5 linked regions of the Canis lupus familiaris genome follow. The protein of the gene in region 1 purifies or fractionates together with the protein of each later gene. This does not show direct contact. Links are inferred from orthologs where the notes say so. Each region holds a gene or a part of one and is shown on either strand. Other genes may lie near its edges.

Region 1 (4,954 bases):
CTGCCCGCTGGACTGCCCATGGGCACCCGGCGTCGCCCCACAGGCACCGTCCCACTGTCCCTCCCCTTTATCCCACCTACCCAGCTCAGTGTATGCGTTGGGTACGTTTCTAAAGTCTCTTTTCTGGAGTTTTCCTTACAATGAACAGGTATCACTTGAGTTTTAAATTCGCTTGTCTAATTTTGGAAGTTACAGAAGTGACCTATGCTCCTTGCAGAAGTAAGATGTCAAATGATCATAGAAGTGCGTAAAATAAGTGAAATCCCTCCCCCGATACCACATCTGGAGGTAACTGCAGGTAACTGGATGGAGCATTTCTACAATCAGAAGGGGGAGCAAAGAAGGAACACCTGTCTATTTAAACCAACCAGCAGCAAACAAATGCTCCCTCTCCGGCTTCCACGTCCACCCCGTGCTTACTCCCTGCACACCACCCCCCGCTATTCCAGAGCTCCCCCTTTTCAGGGTGGCCCTGAAGCCAGACTGCCTGCATTCAGACCCCACCTCTGCCACCCTAGCCTCTGTCTGCCTCCGTTTCTTCATCTGCAAAGTGGGGATAATAGTAACGCTCTGTTTATACAGCCCTGGTGAGGATGCTCTTGCGTAGAAAGCCCTTGGGAGGGTGCTGGGCAAAGTGAGCGCCTCCCCGGGGCCAGCGTCCCCCCCACCCCCTTATCCTCTGACAACACGCACTGTTATGCTCTGAGCTCCAGGAGGACAGCGCACAACTGATCCTTCATAATAACCCAGTACAGCATTACTGAGCGCCTACTCTGTGCCGGGCACTGGGCAGGCCGAAGTCTAGGGACTGCCTCCTATGCCTTCTGGAAGCTGACAGCAGTGCTGGGGGCACACACACAGTAACAACCACAGCCCTGCGTGAACGCAGCTCTCCGCAGCCCTTGAAACACTCAACACGTGTCCCATCCAAGTCCCAGGACCGTCCTGAGCAGGAGCCAACAGTCTTGGGGCACACAGCTAAGGAGGCTGAGCCAGCCTGCACACCCAGGCCAGTCGGATCCATGACCACGAGAGAGCGGCAACACCCAGGGTTATCCCGAGCTGGGTGAGGGGCCAGGCGAGGCAGGACAAGGGAAAGGTCAGCGGGGGCTGCTGGAGCAGGCAGGGCAGGCCACGTGGGGCCGGAGACACTGCCCTTATTATTTCCAGAAGCTGCCCTTGTCCCCACGGCCAGGCCATGGTGTCCTGGAGGGCTGGCCCACGCCTTGGCCGTGGCGCACTGCTGTTCTCACCCACCTGGCCCAGAGTGCATACTCACTGGCTGGCGTCCACCTCATCAGTCCCTCTCACTAAAGCATCCAGGATAACCTGCCTGCCAGGGGAGGGCACTGTCACCTGGGGGTCTGGAAGCAGGTGGAGGGAGGCAAAGCTGTCCTCCGGGCCACAGACAGGGCCTGGCGACCGAGTGGACTGAACACCCAGAGACGGCCCGAGGCTCTGACTTCTGCGGGGTCCTCAGGCAAACCACTGCCTGCTGAACCTCGATCTTGTCATCTATAAAATGGGCAGACCGACCCCCACGGCCATGAGGGTAAACGAGCCTGCCCCTGGGAAAGCTCCGAGCAGTGATGAGCTATATAAATGCTCACCAGCATGGAGGGCAGACACTTGTTGAGCACCGACTTGATGCACACGAAGGAATCAATATTAGCTCACCTGTCAGATGGGACTGTCAGGTCGCTCAGCTAGCAAGTGGTGGAGCTCGAATTTGAACCCAGGTCCCTCTCAGCTGTTCCACTGCAGAGGGGCCTCCCAGCAGGAAGGCAATATTTGCCTCTTGGCAGCTTGGCCAGGGGAAACTGGTCTCAGACCTCAGCCTCATTATTCAAGAGGCACCAATCACAAAGGCCCCGGCCCTGGAGCCCTCACACTTGGCCTCCTCCATCTGGTCCCCTCCCTCTGGTCTTCCCAGCTTCTCAGCTCAGGGCCTCAAGGGAAGTTTCTACTGCTGCTGATGCCATTAGAGATCCTCAGGGGTTCCTACCCACCTGAGGGCCAGGGAGCCAGCAACCCCTTGGTCAGAGAGGGGCTGGCGCCAGAGCCCAGCTGGGGCCCGGCTGGGGTGGGGGGCCCAGGAGAGGGGAAGGCGCCGGCTCATTAGATGGAGAAACAATGGGGTACGTCTAGGCCTCCTCCTAGGCTCTGGAGCAGTTACACTGTCTTCTTCCTCCTCTCCAAATGGGGCCAGGATTATGGTGGAGGGATATCCATCCCTTGCCCACAACACCCACTGCCCACTTCCCTAAAATCCACCTCCCAATTGCCTAATAGCAGATAACCGGCAGAGAGGGGGGAGAAAGGGAGCTCAGACCACGGTCCTGGGGACCTGCTCCAGCAGGGAAACCTTCCACCCAGTGTCCTTGGCTACTCCTGGGCTGTCCAAACCAGACTCCCTCAACCAAAGCTGGGCGTAGTGTCTCCTGAATGGGTCGGAGCCTTCCGTGCCTGCACACACCTGACCAGGTCAGTGCTTGCCCACCCAAGTCCACAGGGGTCCTGACCATGCCAGTCCTGGGAGTTAGGCCCCTCTGACCAGACAGGGCTGGGGGAGGGGCCCACGACTTCCTCCTTCCGGCACCAAGGTTGTCAGTTGCCCCAAGAAACTGGGAGCCACGAGGCACCCCATCCCCGCACCCATGTCTATTCAGAATCCTGTGGACTGGGCAGAAGCAGAGCATTAGCCTGCCTGCCTCCTCCGCTGTCTCAATCCGGACCCCAGGCCCTGCCGCAGTCCCAAAGTGGGGGAGAAGGCGGCCTCTGCGCCCCCCCCTCCAGTTCCCTCTAGAATCTCCTAGCCTGGGGCATGGAATGGCGGAGGGAGCCGCACCGTTGGCTCTGCAGCGGCTATCCGGCGGGACGGGGGGCTGAGGGGGTTTCTGGGGACCCTGCCCAGGGAGGAGACCCCCTCCCCGCGCAGCCCCTGCGTTCCCCAGGTCGGTGTGTGCGTGTTGGGGGCGGGGGGCGGCGGGCGGCGGGGGCCGGCGCAGATTACCCGGGCCGAAGGGCGGGGCGCGGCGGCCGGGGACTCTCACCTGAAATTGGGCGGCGACGCGATGTGCAGCCCCAGGAACGGGGAGGCGGCAGGCGGGGACGCGGCCCCCCCGCCCAGGCCGCCGCTCTCTCGCTCCGCCATTCCCCGGCACAGCCCTGGCCATCCGGGCGGAGCGCGGCGCAGAGGCGGCGGCGGCGAAGGCGGCGGCGGCGGAGGGGACGGAGGCGGGCGCGCGGAGAGGCCGCCGCCGCCGCGGGGCTCGGGCTGGGGCGGGCGCGGCGGGCGCACCTGCGCAGGGCAGGGCGCGGCTCCGGACCGCGCGCCGCTCCCGGGACTGGCGCGAGCGCCGCCGCGCGTCCCCGGGCCCTCGCCGGGGTCTCGTGCGCCCCGCCCCGGCCCCGCCCCGGCCCCGCCCCGGCCCCGCCCCGGCCCCGCCCCGGCGCTCTCCGAGGTGCTGAAGCGGCGGCCCCCGCGGCCCCCGCGCCCACGCGGATCCCTCCGCCCTCCTCCCCCTCCCGCAAAGCCCTCGCGCGGTGCGGGCTCTGCGCCCTCGGGGGGGCCTGGCGCCCGGGCATGAGGGAGCTAATGGCGGGACCCGGTCCCCTGGGCCCTAGTGGCCCCCAGCAGCAGACAAAGAAGGCGGGCAGGACCGGAGGGCCATGGAGGAAGGAGGAGGAAGGCGACATGGTGTCGGCGTGGGCTCCCAGGGCAAGCCGGGGTTGGAGTCAGGTGGTGTGAAGTCACAGCCTGGCTTCCCAAGTGAATAGGTGGTGTGGCCTTGCATTAGTGACTTCACGGATCCTAAGTTTTCTCATCTGTGAAATGAGGACAGTAATGGTCCCTCTCGTGGTTGTGAGGATGAAAAGTAATACAAATATGTTGTCACCGGCGGCAGGGAATACCCCACCTCTGCCTAGAACCCAGGTCTCACCCAGTCCTGTCCCCTTGAGGAGACCCTCTCATGGACTCTCCCTAGAAGATTTTCTCTCTAAAGATTGACCCAGTTATTAATGGGGAACTGAACCTTTCTCTAGGCTTCTCTGTTTCTCCTCCCTCACACCAGGACTTTCCCAGATTTCTCTCAATTGCATTTCCTGCAGAGAACTTCTCATTTGCACCCACAGACACCCCATAGCTGGTTTCCCACATTCTAAGAGTAGGAGCCACTTTTCCTCCTGCTGCCATGGTTGACTTCTTGGGATTCTTCTTATGGTTTTTCTGTTCCTTCCAGCACCTCTACCCCTGCTAGTTTGGGGCCACAGTTCCTTTCTGGTCTCTCCCCTACGAGGGCTAAGCCTGTGAGTTCTTTTACAGAACACAGACTGCTGGACACTCAAACTGCTGGCAAGGCTAGGGCCCCAGCTTTGGTGGGTCAAGAGCCTCTGACCAAACCTCATTGGTCTCTCTGGCCTCCTGAGAACTGCGGAGGCTCTGTCCTTACTTCTTTCCGAAGAAGGGGCAAACTGTTTCACAGCTTGTGGGATCCTATTTGCAAATCTGGACTGCCTACTGGTCACACCACTCCCTTTTCCTTCAATGTAGCACCCAGAAAGGAGCTGCAGTCACGTGCCCTGCAGGAAACAACTCCCCACCTCCAGCCCCAAGAACATCCCATTACCTACTGCCAAAGGCTCTTCTCCCTGCCTGTGGGCCCAGAGGAGTGGCCACTTTACCTTTCTTGCTATCTTGGCTCAGCCTCCTTTCACTAGGACCAAACAGTAGCCACCTTCTGCTCAGATGCCTGGCTTTTGCTTCCAGGAAGTGGTCTTGGCCTAGAGGTTAATAATTGTTGCTTAAGAGTGTGTGCTTGCCTCAGCTGGGAGCATCTTCAGGTCAGGAGTGTGTGTGTAAGACAACTTCATTCTCCAGAATCTTCTGCTGGAGAACAAAGCTATTGTAGCTCCTGAGGCCAAGCCAAAGTCACATTAGAGAGAAGCCAGG
Region 2 (4,216 bases), on another chromosome or scaffold:
AGCTATTATGGTCCTCTTAATTATAACATGACCTCAAGACACCCTAAAGGCATCTGTCCAAATGTAACTATAAAATCAGTAATTTGAGCCACTTCCTAGAGACCAGTCCTGGATAAGGACATGCCAGCTCAGGTTTACAGTTCATGTTAGAGCCCCTGTACCCAATCCGCAGCTCACATTGGGCCATCCCAAAAATTTCCTTAAAAATCACATGCTTATTATAAATGGGACTTTCATATGAAACGTTATGTTTCTGTGGTGGTTAAATCTACAGGCCAAAAAAAAAAAAAAAAAAACTAAAAAAAAAAAAAAAAAATCTACAGGCCAGCCCTAAAATGAGCCCACCCCTATGCCAGTTATCTCGCTTACAGCCAGAGATCACCCATGCTGGTGCTGCTAAGGGAAAATGCGCCTGAACACTGAGCTCGGAAGTGGAACTCGCCCAGCAAGTGCCTCTGGGAAAGGATAAATAAACTTGTGCTTTTCAGCAAGTTTCTTAAGCCTCTCTGAGGGGGTGGCTTAACCAAGGTGTTATAGGCAAAGCACATGGCACCTTGCCAGGTACACGATGGAGGCTTAGTAAACCGTGTTATTACACTCATACATCAGCATCTGCATAAAGGAAGACAATGCTATCACCACAGCAGAAGCATGTCCACCCCTAAAGTACACTGAGCGACAGCCCCAGAGCAAAGGTCCCAGAAGCAGGCCAGGTCTTGGACAACCCCTGGCCTCTTTGTATTCGGGAGTCCTCTGAAATCTAGAACTTGCTATCCTTACTGAGGCCATTCTGGAACGACAGAAGATCCAAGGAAGCGGACTCCCTGCCTTTACACACGAGTCTTTCCGAAACAGATGCTTACCGCTTCAGCTTCAGCAGGGTCATACCAAACAGTAATGTAAGGGTGACGTAAAGCTTCATCTACAGAGATCCGCTTGTCAGGATCTATCACTAACATTTTTGACAACAAATCTCTGGCTTGACTCGCTAGGATGAAAACAAATATCAGATTAATTAATAAATTAATGCTGAAACATAGAAAATCACAGAGAAAATGTGACAGTACAGATAGAACAAAGATGTATTAAAACTTGACATTTTTGATAGGTTCTGGATCAGCTGAGGCTTTTTCTTTAAGAATAAGCCAAGGAGGCACTTTCACTACAAATCTGGTCTTCCAACTCAGGTTTCTTGCCTCTGGAACTGGGAGGGGAGGAGTGGCAGGGCCTGGGAAAAGGGTACCAGGTGGACACAGGCCAGCCAGAGGCTGACATGGTGCCCGGGGAATGCTGCCACCAGGGCAGGCAGGGGAGCTGAGATAAGGATGGCGCTGCCTGGAGTGCAGGCACAGAGCATGAGCAAGGCTTTTCTCTTGATGGCCCATCAAAACAAAATTAGAACAGGCTTTTTAAGCCATAAAACAATCTCACATTTGCACACCATAGAATACTTTACAGATACCTCCGCTATGACCACAGCTATATATAATGTTGGAAACAGACACTTAAAAAAAAATCTAGAGGTTAGTTGCTAGAAAAAAACCAACAAGCTCAGTAACTTAGTCAAATGTAAGGCTCACATAGGTTTAGGCAATTAAAGTTCACATGGGTAGGCAAAGGAGAGACAGAGCTTTTCTGACCGAGGCAGTTTACCCTGATGTGGAGAGAAATTTATTCTTTTAAATCATGTTTTTGGTGACGGGCACAGGAGAAAGGGAGAAGCAGCTTTTTTTTTTTTTTTTTTTAAAGATTTTATTTATTTATTCATGAAAGACACAGAGAAAGAGGCAAAGAAGTAGGTAGAGGGAGAAGCAGGCTCCCTGTGGGGAGGCCAATCTGGGACTTGATCCCAGGATCACAACCTGACCAAAGGCAGATGGTCAACCACTGAGCCACTGAGGCACCCACTTTTTTTTTTTTAATCAATTATGGGCTAGAATCTTAATTCAAGTGTTCCATGGACCTGAAAACTGTGTGAATTCCAATTGCTATAATTAACATGAGTTTTTCAGACTGACGTGAACCTTTTTGTTTTGACCAAAGGTTTCCATGAGGCCATTCTGTTGAGGACAGAACTTTTAGGTCTAGAAGCCTTCAGGCTCACCTGTACCTCACTCAATTTGAGGGCTTCCACTATTTTATCTCCCCACGTCCAGGGGTGTCAGGCTGCAGAAACAGGTATGAGGGAAAATGAAGGGCATCTTACTTTTAATTTTGTCTCGTTCGGATTCTGATGGGAATATCCAATCTGGGAAGAGCTCTTCAAATTTGATTCCAGGGTATTTCGGTCTGTTTTCTACATAATTCCTCACGGTTGGCTGGAGTTTCTTCATAAAATTCGCAGACGGCGTTCCCAGCTGCTCAATGACTTTATTCCACTGATCAATATCTAAGAAGTCTCTTGAGGAAAATATAACTGAAGGACCTTACGGTTGCATTACACAGAGTAGCATCATTCACAGAAACGCTAAAATCCTCTTTCTACCTGCCAACAGGTGATTAACGAGGCTACCCCACTGGGGCAGCACAGGTATTCTGAAATAATATTGAAATACAGTGTGGGTTTCTGAGACTACTTTTAAAACCTCTGCACCTTTCTAAACTCTGATCACAGTTTATTAGACCAACACCTCGAGGGATGTATGCCATGCCCTTCTAGATCAACATAGTTATTCTTATTACTAAAGACTACCTGTGACAGAAGTGATTAAAGGTGAAATTAGGTAAAGATGACTTAGGCAAACCAAAATCAATTTTCACACCAAGGTGTCTTAAATTTGAAAGCTCCCTGAAGTAGACAGAGTAGAGTCCTGGGTTCACGCCTGGAGAAGCAAAGGCCCGGTGCAGTGCATGAGCTGGGGCTTGGGGCTCTTGGAGCCCAAGCCTTGTCCTCTCCAACAGGGCCGTGAGCCACCCTGGAGCTGCACTTAGATGGACAACTTTGCAGGTCATTCTCTGATTGTCATTGCAGGACCCAGAGCGCATCTGACTTCCTTTCAAAATACATGCCCTGGGTTTCAGACTCCACCACACTTGCCGCACAGCAGGTGCCAGGCCCCCAGTCTTCCCTGGCTCTTCATCTGACTTGTTCATAAAATGTGAGAATACAAGCGTGGCCTATTTTCCAGAGGTGGGGCTTGGCATAATAACTGGCATCATGAACTGGAAAGGAATTCTGAGACTGTAAACAATTATACAAAAGGATGTAGGAAAAAGAAATCATGGAAATAGCAATGTTTAAAAAGCAGTTTTCAAAAGTTAAAAAAGAAAATCTGATTGAGGTCTGTCTCAGAAAAACAGTCACATCACTGTGAAGGAACACAGGACGAGAACAGGCTCTCAAGATGGGTTCTGGCCTCTGGAGTAACGCATGTTCTCCTGCTTCACTGAACAGGCTCACGAGATGGGTTCTGGCCTCTGGAGTAACTAGCATGTTCTCCTGTCTCACTCCCTCATTTCCTGCGTGCAGCTGTAGCAGACTCCTGCAGCCCTCCAGCCCTTCTCGCCACCCTCCCTTCCCCTGGGTTATCCAAAACAGTCCCTCATCTCCTGCTTCTATTCTTGCTGGGACAGTCGACCGGACTTCCATGCAGCAGCTGCCATGACCTCTTCGAACCTGAGTCAGATGGGAGCCTAGAAGTGGGTAGGCGCTCAATGTCTAGTGTGTTCACGATAAAGGGTCATTTCTGTAGACTGACTCAGGGCAGGTGGGAAAGGAAAAGTCAAACCCAACAAGGCTGGCTGGTCTTCCGGCTGTGTGCATGCATTATTGTCCCTTGGTGGCTATGGGCCTCTGGTTATACTGAGCAGGAGCAAGGCTTGGGGAGGCCCCGACTCACGAAGGTTGTTGCATGGCGCCCCATGTGCTGGAGGAGGGCTGGCTGCAGCTCCCTCCCTCTGCTGGGCTATTGTGGCCACAGGAGGTCCCCCTCTATCCCAGGTCATGCATCTGAAGCAAATCTCAGAGAACTGCAATCTTGGTGCCAGAATCTTTTTCCATCCTAGCAGTTTTTAATCTACTGTTTGAAAGAGTGGGCAAAATTGCCTTTGCAAAATGATGTTAATCTCTGTGTGTATTTTGAGAATGACATTAGATGGCCTTATATATAAAACTATCAATTACCAATACTGCAAGATGCTAATATGTAAGGAAGGATTTTAAATTGCTTAAAAATCCACCAAAAAGTATCCAGTTTTTGTACTTTCTGAAGAAAAC
Region 3 (5,009 bases), on another chromosome or scaffold:
GGCAGGTCAGGAGGGCACAGTGAGAGCAAGAGGCTGAACAAGAGAGAAAGAGAGAGAGAGAACAAGAGCGCATGGAAACACATGGCCAAAAGGAGCCACAGATGTACCAGGCTGTCAGTCCAACACGTATGTACGCGCACACACACAGCGCATGGCACAAACCCCCACACGTGTACAGACAACATGCCGAGAGCCCTGAACAGGGCCAGCCTCACGCTGTCTTACACACACACACACACACACACACACAGACACACACACACACAACCTGCCCAATTTAGCTCCCCCTACACAAGGGCCAACTGGACCAGACCTCACCCAGGTGTCTGTCTCTCTTGCTCTCACACTCTCTCTCTCACATATACACATGCACACCCTCCCCATCTGCTCCAGACCCGCAAGTAACTGCGCTCCGGCCTCAGGCCTCGGCGGGCTGCTTCCTCTACCTTCATTCACATCTCCCCACCTCCCCCGAGCCTGTGCTGTAATCCCAGCTGCTCTAGAGGCTTCCCCGACTGACCACCCCTTGCAGAACCCCAAGCTGGCTCTACTTTGCCTTTTCTACAAAGCATCACTGCTTTGTCCACTTCTCCCAGACCAGGAGAATGCTGTCAGTGAGCGTCAGCCACACAACGAGGGGCCCTTGGTCCGTTCTGTTCGCTGCTGTGTCCCTAGAGCAGGGCAGTACATGTTGGCTGTACGGTTGAAACAAATCAACAGGCACAGCCCGATGGCCTAGCCCAACTTTCCCTCTCTCTCTCTCATACGCTCACTCACACGTGCGACCTCTCACAGGCGGCAGACTCCTGGTCAGTAAAGGAGCCCACTTCCTCTTCCAGGGAGTCCAAACCTGAGCCCGCCAGGAAGGGAGGAGTGGAAGGTGAGCGGACACAGAATTGGCCAAGTGGGCCAAACACTGTTGATCACTGATTGTGTGGAAGGAGAAAAGAGTGACAGGCGCACACACGCACACACAGCATGGGGGGTGGGGGGGAGGGCATTCTGCGGCGGGGCAGCGGTTAGGTCAATGGTGCAGATGTCCAAGCGACGATGATAAAAAGGCTGGTACCTGCTCGTTGGGACGGGGCAGGAGCAGGGCTTAGAGTGATCACAATAACTGGATGGGGAAAAGGAAGAAAAAAAACAACACCACGATAAATCACAACAGAAACAACTGATTTGTCCAAAAGAAAAGAAATCAAATCATAACGAGGAAGAGGGGGAGGCGCGAGGCACCAAACTGCAGAGACGGGTAGAAACCGACAGAAATGGGAGGACCGGGAGGATGAGATGGAGCTGACACAGACACAGACACCTGAAGGGGGCTCCTCAGGGGCCTGCCCGCCGTGGGCCTCACCATACCTCACTCTGGGACAGCCACCCTGTAAGGCACCCCTGGCCCCAGACCCAGCCCTGTCTCTTCCATGCTGGGGCCAGGGGAGGCAGCACTGCAGAGCCCAGCAGGGACCCTCCAGTCCTGGGAGGCCTTTCTGCCCCAGGGAGGAACCCACACCACCCCAAATCAGAAGAGAGAGAGATGGGGAGTGAAGCGCACCCAGGGACTGGGGGGCAGTCAGGCCGTGAAGATCAGGCTGGGTGAGCGGGGAGTGACTGCAATACTCTGACATGGGGGTGTGTTCCCCCTCCTACCAGGATGACCCCACAGGGAGCTACATAAGCTACAGGGATCATATCAGAAGTACAAAGGAGGGCAATTTGCCAGCTCAAGAGAGAGACACAAAGTGCGTGATGAGGTGCTACCCATCAGGTCTGTGGGGAGGGTGAAGACCCGATGCCCTCCAGCTGAGAGATTTGGGGAGGGGGGTTCAGTGGGACATAACAAAGAAACTAGACAGTGGTCCAGTGGTCGTGGCAATCCCAGGTCAGGTGTGATTGTTGGGTGGGGGAGGGCAGGAGGAGGCAGCTTTTGATTCCAGGCAACAAGATGCAGGGAGATACACAGAGATAGTGGGATCAGATACGAGGTGTGTGTGGGCTGGGAGGTCTAGATATCACCACCTTGGCTTCAGGTATCCCTAGGCCAGGTGAGTGTGGGCGTGCAGGAAAGAGGAAGTCACTCGAGTCCAGTGGGCGAAAGTTGCCAAGCTGAGAGTTCGGTGTGTATTTTTTGAGAAGCTAGACAGTCACCAAGATGGTGGCAGTGAAACGGGTCAGAGAAGTATGAAGGGGCCTGGTGTATGTGGGTAGGGTGTGCGTGGGAGGGGGGGCCCCCCAGGCCCAATTACAAGGTCCCCGCCCGGGGGAAAAAGGGATTACCAGACACAGTCACAGGAAAGGGGGTCAGAGGAATAGGGAGTTACAGTGATCAAATGACCTCAGGTGTCACCTGGGCCAAGTGTGCTTGTGTGTGAGTGTGAGCGCATCCCCCACTAAACCATATGACAGGGACCCAGGTGCCGAAGGGGAAAGGGGCCTCCTGCCAGTCACTGAGATGGCAGGAGTGAAGTCGTCCGGTCGGAAGAGACGTGTCCGTGTTTGCGACGAACCTGGATGTGGTCACAGTCGCATGCATTGGAGGGAGCGCGGCTCCGGCTCTGGGTAGGTGACGGTGACATAGGCTCTGAGGATCCCGCGGAGGGGGCGGGCCGTCAGGTGGGGGGCCTTGCCGGGTAACTAGGCTCGTAGGCCCCGTGAGGGGGAACCCCTACGTTGGGGGCAGAGCCGCCCGGGAGCCCGCGGCCCCACGCCCCCCGGGTCACCGTGACCCTCTCCGCGCGAGCCGACAGCAGGGGGTATGGGGTGGGGAGGAGGAGGAGCCAGAGCGCCCCGGAAGCGGGGGCGGGGCCTGACGGCGGGGGCGGGGCCTCCCGCGGCGCGCGCCCCGCCCCGCCCGCCCCCTCCCCCACGCTGCCGTGCTTACTGGGCCTGGGCCGCTGGGGGCTGATATCCAGGTTGAGGTCGATCCTCCGCCGGGCCTCGCGGTTCTCCTGCTTCAGCTTTGCTTCCAGGCGGGACAGCTTCTGCTCCAGGGAGGACGCCGCCATCTTCCCCGCCGCCGCCGCGCACCGCCCGGCCGCCCGTCAGTCCGGCAGACAAACACCGCACTGCGCTTGCGCCTGGATGACCCCGCCGAGCCGCCGTCTCTCCCCGCACGGCGCATGCCCGCGGCGCGCACTCGCCCATCCCTCGTGCTAACGTCCGCGCATGCGTGCCTCTTCCCAGCTGGAGGGATGACGCCACCTAGAGCTCGCGTCTGGCAACGAGCAACGCCTCTCCTGGTGGTGCGCATGCGCGGACTGCGTGTGGCAATCCATTCACACTGTTGGGCCGAGAGCGGCGGGCGGGGAGAGCGGCGCGCCTGCGTGCAGAGGCGCGGACGCGATCCCGCGCGCGGCCTTTACTGCGCCTGCGCAACCTTGGCTCGCTTCTCTGCCCCTGTTGCTGGGAGTAGCTCTTGCAGCGTGTCCTCCCCAGCTTCGTTCTCGCTCTTCCCCTCCCGGCCTGTTTTCTGGCACCCACGCTCTCCCAGCACTGCCTTTCTCGTCTGGGACAGTGCTTCATTAGGATCCCTGTTAGGCTTAATTGCTGTCTCTTCACCATAATTAGGCGCCCGTGGGGAGCCCTTTCTATTTCAGCAAACTCGGGGTTGGCCAAGGGCTGGCGGGAGGGGCAGGGTAGGGCTCGGTCACTGGAGGGGCCCCAGGACCAGGGGCATGACCCCTGATCTCCGGACAGGGTGAGGGGCAGGGCCAGAAGAGTTCCAGGTCAGCCCCCTCAAATGGGGTATTTTAGGACTTTCATCTTCCCAACCCCGGAATGTGAGCCCAGCTCCTGGACAGTGCGGAAGATGGGCCTGGATGTTAGGGCGCCTCAGCCTGGTCTCCTCGCGGCTCAACTGGTCTGTGGGCGCCCGGGAAAATGCCCCCATCTGGGATCCTGGATTTCGGAAAGCAGCTTGCGTCTGCTCTCAGTTGCGAGGAAGAGGCTCGCATTTTTTCAGACTCCTTGAGGTGTCCAGGCCCGGGAGGTCCAGGTCAGGCAGGCTGTGCCCTATGCCCTTCCTGCTCCTGGTCCAGCACGGGAACACTGGCGGGCGCGGAAGGCTTGTGGGGACTCCCGTGGTGACAATTTGCGGGTGGAACAGATGCGAGAGTGTGGAGTCCGGAGAATAATAAGGAATGGAGAAGAAAGAGAGTTCTCCAAAAAATAGCTACGCAGATGATGCCTGATAAGCCGAGGTCTCTCCTGCCTCTGCTTCCAGGACAGAAACTCATACCCTTGATTCCGCCATGTGAGTGTCATTGCTTGCCTGTTATTGGTCTGGCGAAATGGAAGGCTTAGACAAACAGGAGTGGATACCAGAGATCGGAAGTTTAGTTCTCATAATTCAGATTATTTATTAAGCACCCACTGGTAGATGCTCTCTCACACAGGAAACACTGGAAAGACAAAATCCCTGCCTCTGCTCAGAAAAATTTAACCTCCTCGGCAGGCATTCTTAACACTGGAGTCTGCCATCCTTAGGATGTCCGTGAATGGCCCTCTGGGAAATCTGGGGGAATTTGCTGACTGCCTAAAGTTGCTTGCGGAACTTTGCATGTATGTGTACCTGAGCATTTTCCTGGGAAAGGAAACACCCAGCTTTTCTCAGATGTTCAAAAGGTGTAGGACTTAGAAAGGGTTCAGAATCCCTGCTCTGGACTTGCAGATTCTGTAGGTCCGCAATTCCCAACACACAGGTCTAGGACCACCTGCATCAGAATTACCTGGGATGTGTATTTGCAGGCAGGTTCCTGGCCTCCAGCCAGACCTGAGTCAGTCTTTCAGGGGTGGGGCCCAGGATGTTTTGTTTTGGGGATGTTGATTTTGATGCATAGCCAAACACGAGAACCATTTTTCTGATTTTGCGTGTCCATAGCAAACAACTTATAAATAAGGATTTGGCATCAAAGTTGGGGGCAAGGGTCACTCATTAGTCCCTTGTGTCTGTGTCCCCTCCTTGGGAGAGAACACCAGCTATAAGGTGTTTTGAGGGGTGGGGGAAAGGG
Region 4 (4,099 bases), on another chromosome or scaffold:
TCCCCTGTGGGAAGAGGTGAGCCGCCTGGCAGCGGCTCCAGGCACCTCCCTCATCCCCCCACACCCGCCACTTGCAGTCACTGTTTGCTCCAAGCTTGAGGCCAATGGAAGCATCTCACTGGATTTCCTATTATTTCCGATAATGGACTTTTGCCTTTCCTCTTCACGGTGTGAAGTGTACCTAAAGTGCAACGACCTTAATTGTGTCTAATGTCTTGAGGAACCGCCGTAGTTTGCTCCCAGCGGCCGCACCACTTCACATCGCAGCGACGGTGCGCGGGGTTCAGATGGGATGCCCGTTTCTCTTACCTCTAAAGCTCCCTATACTATGTAACGTTTGTGTGTTTGTGGTTCTAAAAAAGCTGTGTACTCCTGTGACTGGGGGCTACGCCAGATGTGCCCCCCATGCGGCGCTCCCTCCAGCAGGAGGGGCAGCCACCCCACCTGGGATCACCTTGGAGTCCAGAGACGGAGGGGCCCTCACCCCCACCTCCAGGCCTATGCACCAGGACCTATAAACGTCCGGGCGTCCCGGCCACACCTGCAGGGGTGCGTCCCCGGGCGAGGAAGCCAAGGCTCGCAGGCACTTGGTGGACAGTTGGCTCTGCTCTGAGCAAGCGACCACCGGGCATCCACCAGGTGGCGCCTGCAGCGCGTCCCACTGGGTTCCTGGGCCGCATCTGGGCCACCTGCACCCCTCTACCTGGCAGTCCCAGACCTGCTGCGTGGCCTCCCCCAGGCCTCCTGGACTGTACGGGGGTGACACGGCTGGGCGTGTGGACTGCCGGGGCATGTCCCCGCTGCGTGAGCCCTGCCACGGAGGGCCGTCTTCCCTCAGAGGGTAGGCTGATCTGGGGGCGCCCCCCCGATGCACCGGCCGCCTCACTCTTTACCCGCCACCCACCAAAACCAGCCACAAAGTTGAAAAGCAGTGTTTATTGAAGAATTCGGAGGGAAAGTTTCATAATAGTAAAAATAGTAAAGTTGAATGTAAAAAGCGCCCCCGTGCAGCACAACGTCGGGCCGCGAGGCGCGGAGGGTGCTCCGAAGGCCCCTCCGAAGGGCACTGGGCGCACGGCGGGCCAGTGAAGCTGCTCCGGAGGACACGTGATACCTGGGACACCACCGAAGTGGGATGGCCCCAAAGGGACAAAAGGGGGGGAGGGAGGGGCTTTCTTGTCACTAAGATTAACAAAACCCCAAGATGCACGTGAATAGCATGATACACAGCAACGGATTGCAACGTCGTTCCTCTGCCTCTCGGGCGAGCCCGGCCTGGCCTGCCCCGGGAGGGGACCAGGCCAGCGTGCCACGGCCAGGCTGGGCCAGGACAGCCGGCGGGAGGGACGGGGGCCGCAGGCGCGTGGCTGCGCGAGGTCCTCAGCCTTTTCCTATGTGAGGCTAATCGTTCTGAAGGCCAAGGCCGTGTCTGGAGACCCGGATGAAATAAATTAGAGAAGCGCGCAGGACCCCTTCCTCGGGGCCGCCGGTCTTCCCATCCCCGGAGCAGGGCGCGGCTCCTCCCAGTGCATCCAGAACTAAACACGAAATCCTAACGGTCCTGCCAGGCTTCCTCCCCGACCCGGGGCCGGCGCGGTGGGCGGCGCGGTGGGCGGCGCGGTGGGCAGCGCGGCGCAGCCAGCCGGCCTTCGTCACGCCGTGCCGCTGGCCGAGTAGGAGAACTGCGGGAAGTGGGGCCTCCGCTCGCTGTCCTCCCCCTCCATGTTGTCACCTGCAGCCGGTGGGCGGGAGGTGCGCTCAGACCCCGGAGCACGGCTGCCGTGCCCGAAGGCCGGCCTCGCAGGCCCTCCCGCCAGGGAGCTGGGCGGGCTGCCCTCCTCACCTTGGTCGGGCGGCGTGATGGTGATCATCTGGGCCGTGAACTCCTCATCAAAATACCTGGTGTCTGTCTCCGACGTGACCTGAGGCTTGAAGGGCGGACTGAGCTGTGGGGGGCAGTTAGGGGCGGCAGGTTAGGGGCTGAACTCTGCCCTGCCCCTGGGGCCTGAGCTCTCCCCCTCCAGGAACCCCCGGGAACGGGGCTCTGGCACGGAGACGCACAGAGGGGGCGGCCCGGGCCCTGCACACGCGGCCCCGCCACTAGGGCCCACCGGGCCAGGCTCCCGGCCACCCCACAGCTGGCCCCGCAGCTGGCTGGCTCTGCAGGCCCAGGCCCCCGCGCAGAAGGCCACAAGTCCGTTCTCTTTTCTAGCTTTCATGACTTTCTGGTTCTCTGACGAGGTAGGAAGGAGATGAAGAGGGACTCCACAGGCCAGGATGGGCTCCCAGCCCCATCCTTGGGTGCCGTGCACACCCCTTCCTGACCAGAGAGCCACTGGCCCAGCTGCCAGGGGCTTCCACTCTGATCATTCATGATAAAGGGCCAGGCCCATCCCCACGGCCCCCGGACCCCCCACCAGGGCCAGTGAGTAGTATTCCCATGCAGTGCCTCAGGGGGACCCAAGAAGCAGCCAGTGCTGGGGTATGAGGTGCACGTGACATGCCCCAGATCCACACAGGGCTCCCAGGGCCCTCCCTGCCCAACCTCCCACCAGGAGAGGAGGCCAGGCCTTCCTCTGCATGAGCTCTCTGGGGCCTCGCCTGGCACAACGGGGAAGGGACAGTCCTGAGTGCACGGCCTGGCTGGCCTCATTGGTGGCTCCAGGACAACAGCGCAGCTGGCTGAGTTAGGCCGCGGAGGTTGCGGGGGGAACTGTAGGGGACGTGCCCGTGGGAGGGCCCCCCAAGCAAGCACTGCCCTGCAGTACTCCAGGGCTGCCCCTCGTGAGCTAGCAGGGGTCAAGGTTGGGCAGCAGCTGGGCTGTCGGAGGGCAGAGCCCGGTGGTGGCAGACCTCAGGGCAGGGTAGTGGCTGGGAGCTGAGCAGGGTGGGGGCGCCCCGTCTCGCAGACAGGGCGGAGGCCCACCCGGTGTGTGCGGCCTGCAGGGGAGGGGAGAATGGAAACCAGGTGGGAGTCTATTTGGTGACAGGTGTGCAGCACGCCCTGGTCCAGGCTTCCTGACCTGCTGGGCCACTGCGCCCCTCAAGTCCCTCAGAGGGCAAAGGACAGAGGAATGGGGGCAAGCGGCAGCTGCCTCGCTCCTGGGAGGCCTCCTGCATGCGCTAGGCAAGCGGGTGCTGTGCCCCGATCCCACGTGCTCAGGGCGGCAGGACGGACTATGGACAAGTGGAGAGAGTGGGAGGGCAGGGTTAGGGCCCCCGCTCCACTGCCAGGCTTCACGGGCAGCCTCAGGGACGGGGAAGCCTGAGGCCCAAAGCTGACAGGGCGCCGGGTTCGGGGAGTCCACGCCCCCACACTCCCTCTGGGGGTTGGACCGAGGGAGGACCCTGCGGGAGGACCCTGTTCGGGGCTTGGGAGGAAATCCCGCAGTGCAGACCCTGTAAGCCTGGAGAAGGGGTGGGAAGGGGGGAGATGCGCCAGGCCACCCACACACCTTCTTCTCGTACACGTCCTGCCACACGATGCTAGCGAAGAAGCGGTGCTGCATGATCTCCTTGGCGTCCTCTGAGCCCCCTCCGAGCCTGCGGAGGGACACGTCAGGGGCTGCCATGCCTGGCTCAGGGCTCGGGCCCCTCACCGGGCCCTCCTCCTGCTGGGGTCTCGGGGCAGCAGGGAGGACGGTGCAGGGGGCACAGCCTGGGGCTGGGGGGCACGGGAGAGGGGAGCCGGTTTGAGGGTGATGGTCCTGGGGCGGGGGATGGCACTGCCTCCCTGGGGGCAGTGGACAACACCAGGCCATGGGCCAGGCTCCTGCACGAGGAGGACGTCGGGGAGGCAGGTGCTGCCGGCAGGGCAGGGTCTTCCTGAGCAGGTGTGAGAGGCTGCGAGGTCCCCATCGGCCCTGGCCGAGGACGTCACACATCAGCCACCAGCGTGGCCCGGAGGCTGGCCCGCTGTCCCTGGGGGGCACGGGCACGGGGGTGGGGTGGCCCACCAGCCCCCTGCTGGCTCAGGGCCGCGGGCTCACCTCTGCTTGGGGTCCTTTTTGAGCAGCCCTGAGAGCAGGGACTTGGCCTCAGGGCTGAGCGTGCGCGGGAAGCGCAGCTCCTCCATGAGGATGAGCTCGAAGAGCTTCTC
Region 5 (4,404 bases), on another chromosome or scaffold:
GACAAGACCTGTGATCTCTGGCTACAGGCAGGAGCTGAAACTAGGAACACAGAAGAAACTTGGGAGGAAAAAAACACATTAAACACTCTAAACCGGTTCAGCAAAAAGAGTGAGACATATGTAAACAACTTTTAAGCAAATCTCTTCAATTTGTGGTGTTGTTATAAAGTAAATAATTTTAAATGATTTTCATTTGACTCAAAAAAAGTTGATTTTAATTTTGCAGTTTCTGTTTTCTTTCCCTCGAGGAAAGAATGAAATGTAATTAGGGATTGATCAGGGATTGTCTGTGAATTTCCTACATGGGGACCTTTATGCCACTTGCTTGTCTGTTCGCCATTTCCAACCAAAAATGAGGCTTCGAATAAAAAGTGAAACCAGAATCATAAAATATTTGGCTCCTTGTTAAAATTTCTTTAAAGGTTTGATGGGTGAGGATGCTGGTTAAAACTGGCGGTGGATTTTAATGATCCCTGCTGTCCTTTTCTCCCATCAAGGACAATCAAGGACTTATAAAAAGTATGAGCTTTGCAACACAACTACTTTAGGCTGAACTACTCTCAGCATCTAGGGCAATTACAGTGTGAGAATCCCTAGGAACTTACTGTAAACAAACAAGCAAGTGTTCAACAACCTTTTTTTGCACTTGGCACCATGACTTAACATTACTATTTTCTTCCATTTTCCTATTTGAGATTTTTATGAAGTGATTACATGTGATAACAATTAAATTTCCCTTTAAGTATGTAATATAGAGCAAAAACACATTCATGACTTGAAATAAAAGCTGAAATCTATAGTGCTAAATCCTAATGGAAAGGTCAAGCATTAGCATCCACACTTGAATATCTCATGCTCTGAGATAATCAGAAAAGTCTCTGAACACTGACTAGGTCCCTTTTGGTGGAGTGACACACATATATCAACAAGCAGCAATGCTATGAAAGAGTTCTACTTTTCCTTAGTCTATAGTTATTTTCTGTGCCAATTTTATTTTACTATTAATGTGTTGAGACCAGTATCACTTTCAGCTAGGCAATCAAATTATTTGGGAATGATAGCCCTTCTTTTTTTTTTTTTTTAAAGTAATGGTAGACATCTACTTACTGGAAACTTTCTAACAATAGATTTTGAGGAAGCTAAAAAGGACACAGTTTAGTACAAACTGTCTTTTACCTTTATTGCTTGTATACACAGGAATACATTATAAAACTCAGTGGGAGGAGGAAAAAAATAACAGAAGAAAAAGTTACCTGCTTTAGCATTTTTAAGAATAGTTTTGATAACTTCTTAGATCAACTTGCTTATCTGAAACAGAGCAAAACTACAATACAATCATGATATAATTCTAATAATCACAGCAATTATGCTTTCATTTTTAATTTTCTCTTCATAAAACATTAATGCTATAAAAATGAGGTTGATGACATCATTGTTTAAAAGACACCTTGTACTGGTACCAAAATGTGATTTATTTTAATACCAACTGAAAAAATAGAGCTTATATAGTCTATTATTTCAATGAAGTTCTTTAATTACTTTTATTTTCAAAGTTGGTAGCAAAGTTATTGTTAACAATATAAATTTTCTCTTTATAAGTGTCGAAATTCCCTTAAAACTGTTGAAAGGCAGCAGGCATTCTAGGATGGGCTTGCAAGGAAAATCAATTATTCCAATGTTGATAAATAGTATACTTGATGAATTTTATATTGACTTCTTTAGTTTCCTTACTAACTTCTCCTGATTTGCCAGGTTTTTTACCCCTTTTGGTTTCATAAAAGGAATCTAAGCCCAAGCCTTTTGGCTGGAGCAATTATTTCCATTTTCCACTATTTCTCTTTATTTTTTCAAATATACACTAAAACAATCCAATAATCATTGCAGGAAGGAATGATCATTTAAGATGGATCGTGTTCATTTACCTTTTAATTTCATTTAAGAGATATTAATACTAGAGTCATAAAATCTTTACAGTTTCAACACACATACACGCAATCACAAATTAAAAATCTTTGTATCTTAAAAAAAAGGGTTCCATTTTGTTCAATGTATCATAGTCAAATTTTAGTCCAATGAAATATGGTTTTATTACATACAGCAGCCGCCACTTACCTTTAAATATTTTATGGGTGGAACTAAGCTCAGCATTGACTGCAGGATGCTGGCGTCAGAGCCCTTACCTGCAACTGTCCCTAAAGATTCTGCATTTCTATAATGTACCACCAATTATTCTAGATTTATAATACCCTGTCTTCAACTTGGCATATACCATCTTTTGGAAAAAAAATTGTTTTCTGAGATGAGATACAAGAACAAAATCATTCTTGAGGTTCCACCTCAAAAAAAAGACGATGTTTGCACATAGCAGCTAGTTTGATAACCCCTGTTTTTGTTAGGCTAGCCTTCACACAATGAGCATGCATGTACAGCCATGGTTCACTGCATCTGTTTTGAAGTTGAGAACTGCTGCTTATTCAAGTCACAGATGCCCCCATGTTATGTAAGGAGACAGTTGAATTGTATGTCCACCATGAAAAGAAGAAAATAAACGATGAAACAAAATGCAGCAAATATAGGCAGTTGGCATTCAGAACACGCCCAAAGCTAACACTCATGAATTGTCATTATAAGGGCTTTTCTTTCCTTAAAAAAAAAAAAAAAAAGAAGTCTGTCTTTGCATATTTTAAAATTTAAAGGTCCCAGAGAATCATGAAGTGCCTTGTCGTTTTTGCTGCTGACTTCTGATGACCTCTAGTTGTTTCTTGCATTGCTGGTAGTAAGTGGAAAGGCTTTTGTTTTCATCTAAAAGCTTTTTATGTTCCTGTACCAGACGAGATGTATTTTGCTGGTCCTTTTCATCCTGGTCCAGTTCTGCAACTAGTTCTTGCCTAAAAACAAATACCACATAATAAAATATTGTACATCTTGTACATGATAAAAAATCCATACTTAGTAACTGATGAGCTTGGCTTGTTAGGGCTTTCTGTATTGACTGTTACACATTTTAGGTACACTACTCAAATATAATTGTAGGCTAGAATGGAAACTATTACCCACTCTTCTGGTGTACCCACACGAACACCACACCACGATCCTTTTGTAAGTAACTGCACTTAGATAATTAATGAACGCAGATAAAATGGCATAACAAAAGTTTCAAAACATTTTACTTGGTATCCCCTTTGTGTAAGAAGAAGAAAAAAGGCTGGGGAAGGGCTCTAGGCACAGGAAAATAACATGTTTTATCATTCACATTCCACTTTTACACTCGTGAACTTTTATTTATGTTTGAAGTTACATCTTATTTAACTACAGTACAAAGTGGGGGCTCATAAAACATTGGCAAGCTAATTAAAATAGATGCTATCAACTTAAATCTATTTCCTACTTTAAAAGTGAGAACAATACAAAGTACCAATTTCGAATGAGTTACTTTTACAAACATTTTCAGGAAGACCATTAGAGACTTTTACAGCCTGATAAACTTTTTAAAGACCCCTTTATTTGGGAGATGTTCAATTTTAACTCCTAAAGTGAAGTTATAAGTGATTAATTAATGATATAAATGAATAATTAATGAAGAGCCTCCAGATGATTTTCTTGTAGTATTTCTCAAAGTATTTAAATAAAATTGATTAAAATTGTCATAGTTTTCGCATTCCCTCAATCTATCATTTCTTTTTCCAGCACAGAACCAACTCCTCGTTCAAATGAATAAAAAAGGAAAAAAGTATAGACTAAATATGTAAAGTAAGAGGTTTTTTTTAAAAAACATAAAGTGTCAACAGTTCTACAATTAGCTCCACAATTTGCAGACTCAAATATTTATTTCCTATAGAGCCTTTAAGGTAGAGTTGCAATCATTTAACAATAAGTTGTGATAGAGCTATTTTTTCTTTTTTTTTTGAAGTACAAACGGAAACTTTCCACAAATTACTTCAGAAAGCAAGAAATTTTCACTTATTTAGATTAAAATCAATAGAGGGAATCCTATTACCATGCCATGATTTTTTCCTATAGCACTTCATTTCAGTTCCCTCTAAAATGAGGATCCATGCAGAAACTTAAGTTTTTGTTTTTTTTTTTTTAAGAATTTCAAATAAAGGAGCATGAAAATTGATTTTCTTAAAAAAGGGAGGAGAGGAAGGCAAACTCAATAACTCTCAGAAAAACATATGCGTGAGTATAAAACACCTTATAAAAACACTCATGGGTATAAAATAAAGTAATCCTACTCTCCTAAATATATACCTGGAAAGACTATATCAATAAAACATTTCTAAGATAAAGTACAGTTGAACATTAGTAAATCAAATTATTTTACCTATGTCTAAGGAAACAATAAATCATTGTAACTATAAATCTAACCAGCTTCTGGTTTCAAAATTCTTAGAACATGAAACA

What was found.
Region 2: the proteins of MAPK8IP1 (region 1) and MAPK9 purify together in Homo sapiens (affinity purification with western blotting; 4 studies listed by BioGRID and IntAct, counting the BioPlex papers as one, with this or other methods). This does not show direct contact. The link is inferred for Canis lupus familiaris from reciprocal best matches to the Homo sapiens genes MAPK8IP1 and MAPK9.
Region 3: the proteins of MAPK8IP1 (region 1) and MAP2K7 purify together in Homo sapiens (affinity purification with western blotting; 3 studies listed by BioGRID and IntAct, with this or other methods). This does not show direct contact. The link is inferred for Canis lupus familiaris from reciprocal best matches to the Homo sapiens genes MAPK8IP1 and MAP2K7.
Region 4: the proteins of MAPK8IP1 (region 1) and AKT1 purify together in Homo sapiens (affinity purification with western blotting; 3 studies listed by BioGRID). This does not show direct contact. The link is inferred for Canis lupus familiaris from reciprocal best matches to the Homo sapiens genes MAPK8IP1 and AKT1.
Region 5: the proteins of MAPK8IP1 (region 1) and MAP3K7 purify together in Homo sapiens (pull-down; 3 studies listed by BioGRID and IntAct, with this or other methods). This does not show direct contact. The link is inferred for Canis lupus familiaris from reciprocal best matches to the Homo sapiens genes MAPK8IP1 and MAP3K7.

Annotation. Positions count from the first base shown.
Region 1 is NC_049239.1:43,957,908-43,962,861, forward strand, and holds the start of MAPK8IP1 (C-Jun-amino-terminal kinase-interacting protein 1), read right to left. Parts: upstream 3,205-4,954; 5' UTR 3,155-3,204; coding exon 3,054-3,154; intron 1-3,053. UniProt on the Homo sapiens protein: The JNK-interacting protein (JIP) group of scaffold proteins selectively mediates JNK signaling by aggregating specific components of the MAPK cascade to form a functional JNK signaling module. Required for JNK activation in response to excitotoxic stress.
Region 2 is NC_049232.1:1,732,657-1,736,872, reverse strand, and holds part of MAPK9 (mitogen-activated protein kinase 9), read right to left. Parts: intron 2,390-4,216; coding exon 2,207-2,389; intron 989-2,206; coding exon 864-988; intron 1-863. UniProt on the Homo sapiens protein: Serine/threonine-protein kinase involved in various processes such as cell proliferation, differentiation, migration, transformation and programmed cell death.
Region 3 is NC_049241.1:52,999,993-53,005,001, reverse strand, and holds the start of MAP2K7 (dual specificity mitogen-activated protein kinase kinase 7), read right to left. Parts: upstream 3,099-5,009; 5' UTR 3,006-3,098; coding exon 2,882-3,005; intron 1,118-2,881; coding exon of another isoform or gene 1,070-1,117; intron 1-1,069. UniProt on the Homo sapiens protein: Dual specificity protein kinase which acts as an essential component of the MAP kinase signal transduction pathway. Essential component of the stress-activated protein kinase/c-Jun N-terminal kinase (SAP/JNK) signaling pathway.
Region 4 is NC_049229.1:72,716,917-72,721,015, forward strand, and holds the end of AKT1 (RAC-alpha serine/threonine-protein kinase), read right to left. Parts: coding exon 3,990-4,099; intron 3,544-3,989; coding exon 3,456-3,543; intron 1,947-3,455; coding exon 1,844-1,946; intron 1,733-1,843; coding exon 1,653-1,732; 3' UTR 918-1,652; downstream 1-917. UniProt on the Homo sapiens protein: AKT1 is one of 3 closely related serine/threonine-protein kinases (AKT1, AKT2 and AKT3) called the AKT kinase, and which regulate many processes including metabolism, proliferation, cell survival, growth and angiogenesis.
Region 5 is NC_049233.1:49,886,628-49,891,031, forward strand, and holds the end of MAP3K7 (mitogen-activated protein kinase kinase kinase 7), read right to left. Parts: intron 2,889-4,404; coding exon 2,708-2,888; 3' UTR 1,035-2,707; downstream 1-1,034. UniProt on the Homo sapiens protein: Serine/threonine kinase which acts as an essential component of the MAP kinase signal transduction pathway. Plays an important role in the cascades of cellular responses evoked by changes in the environment.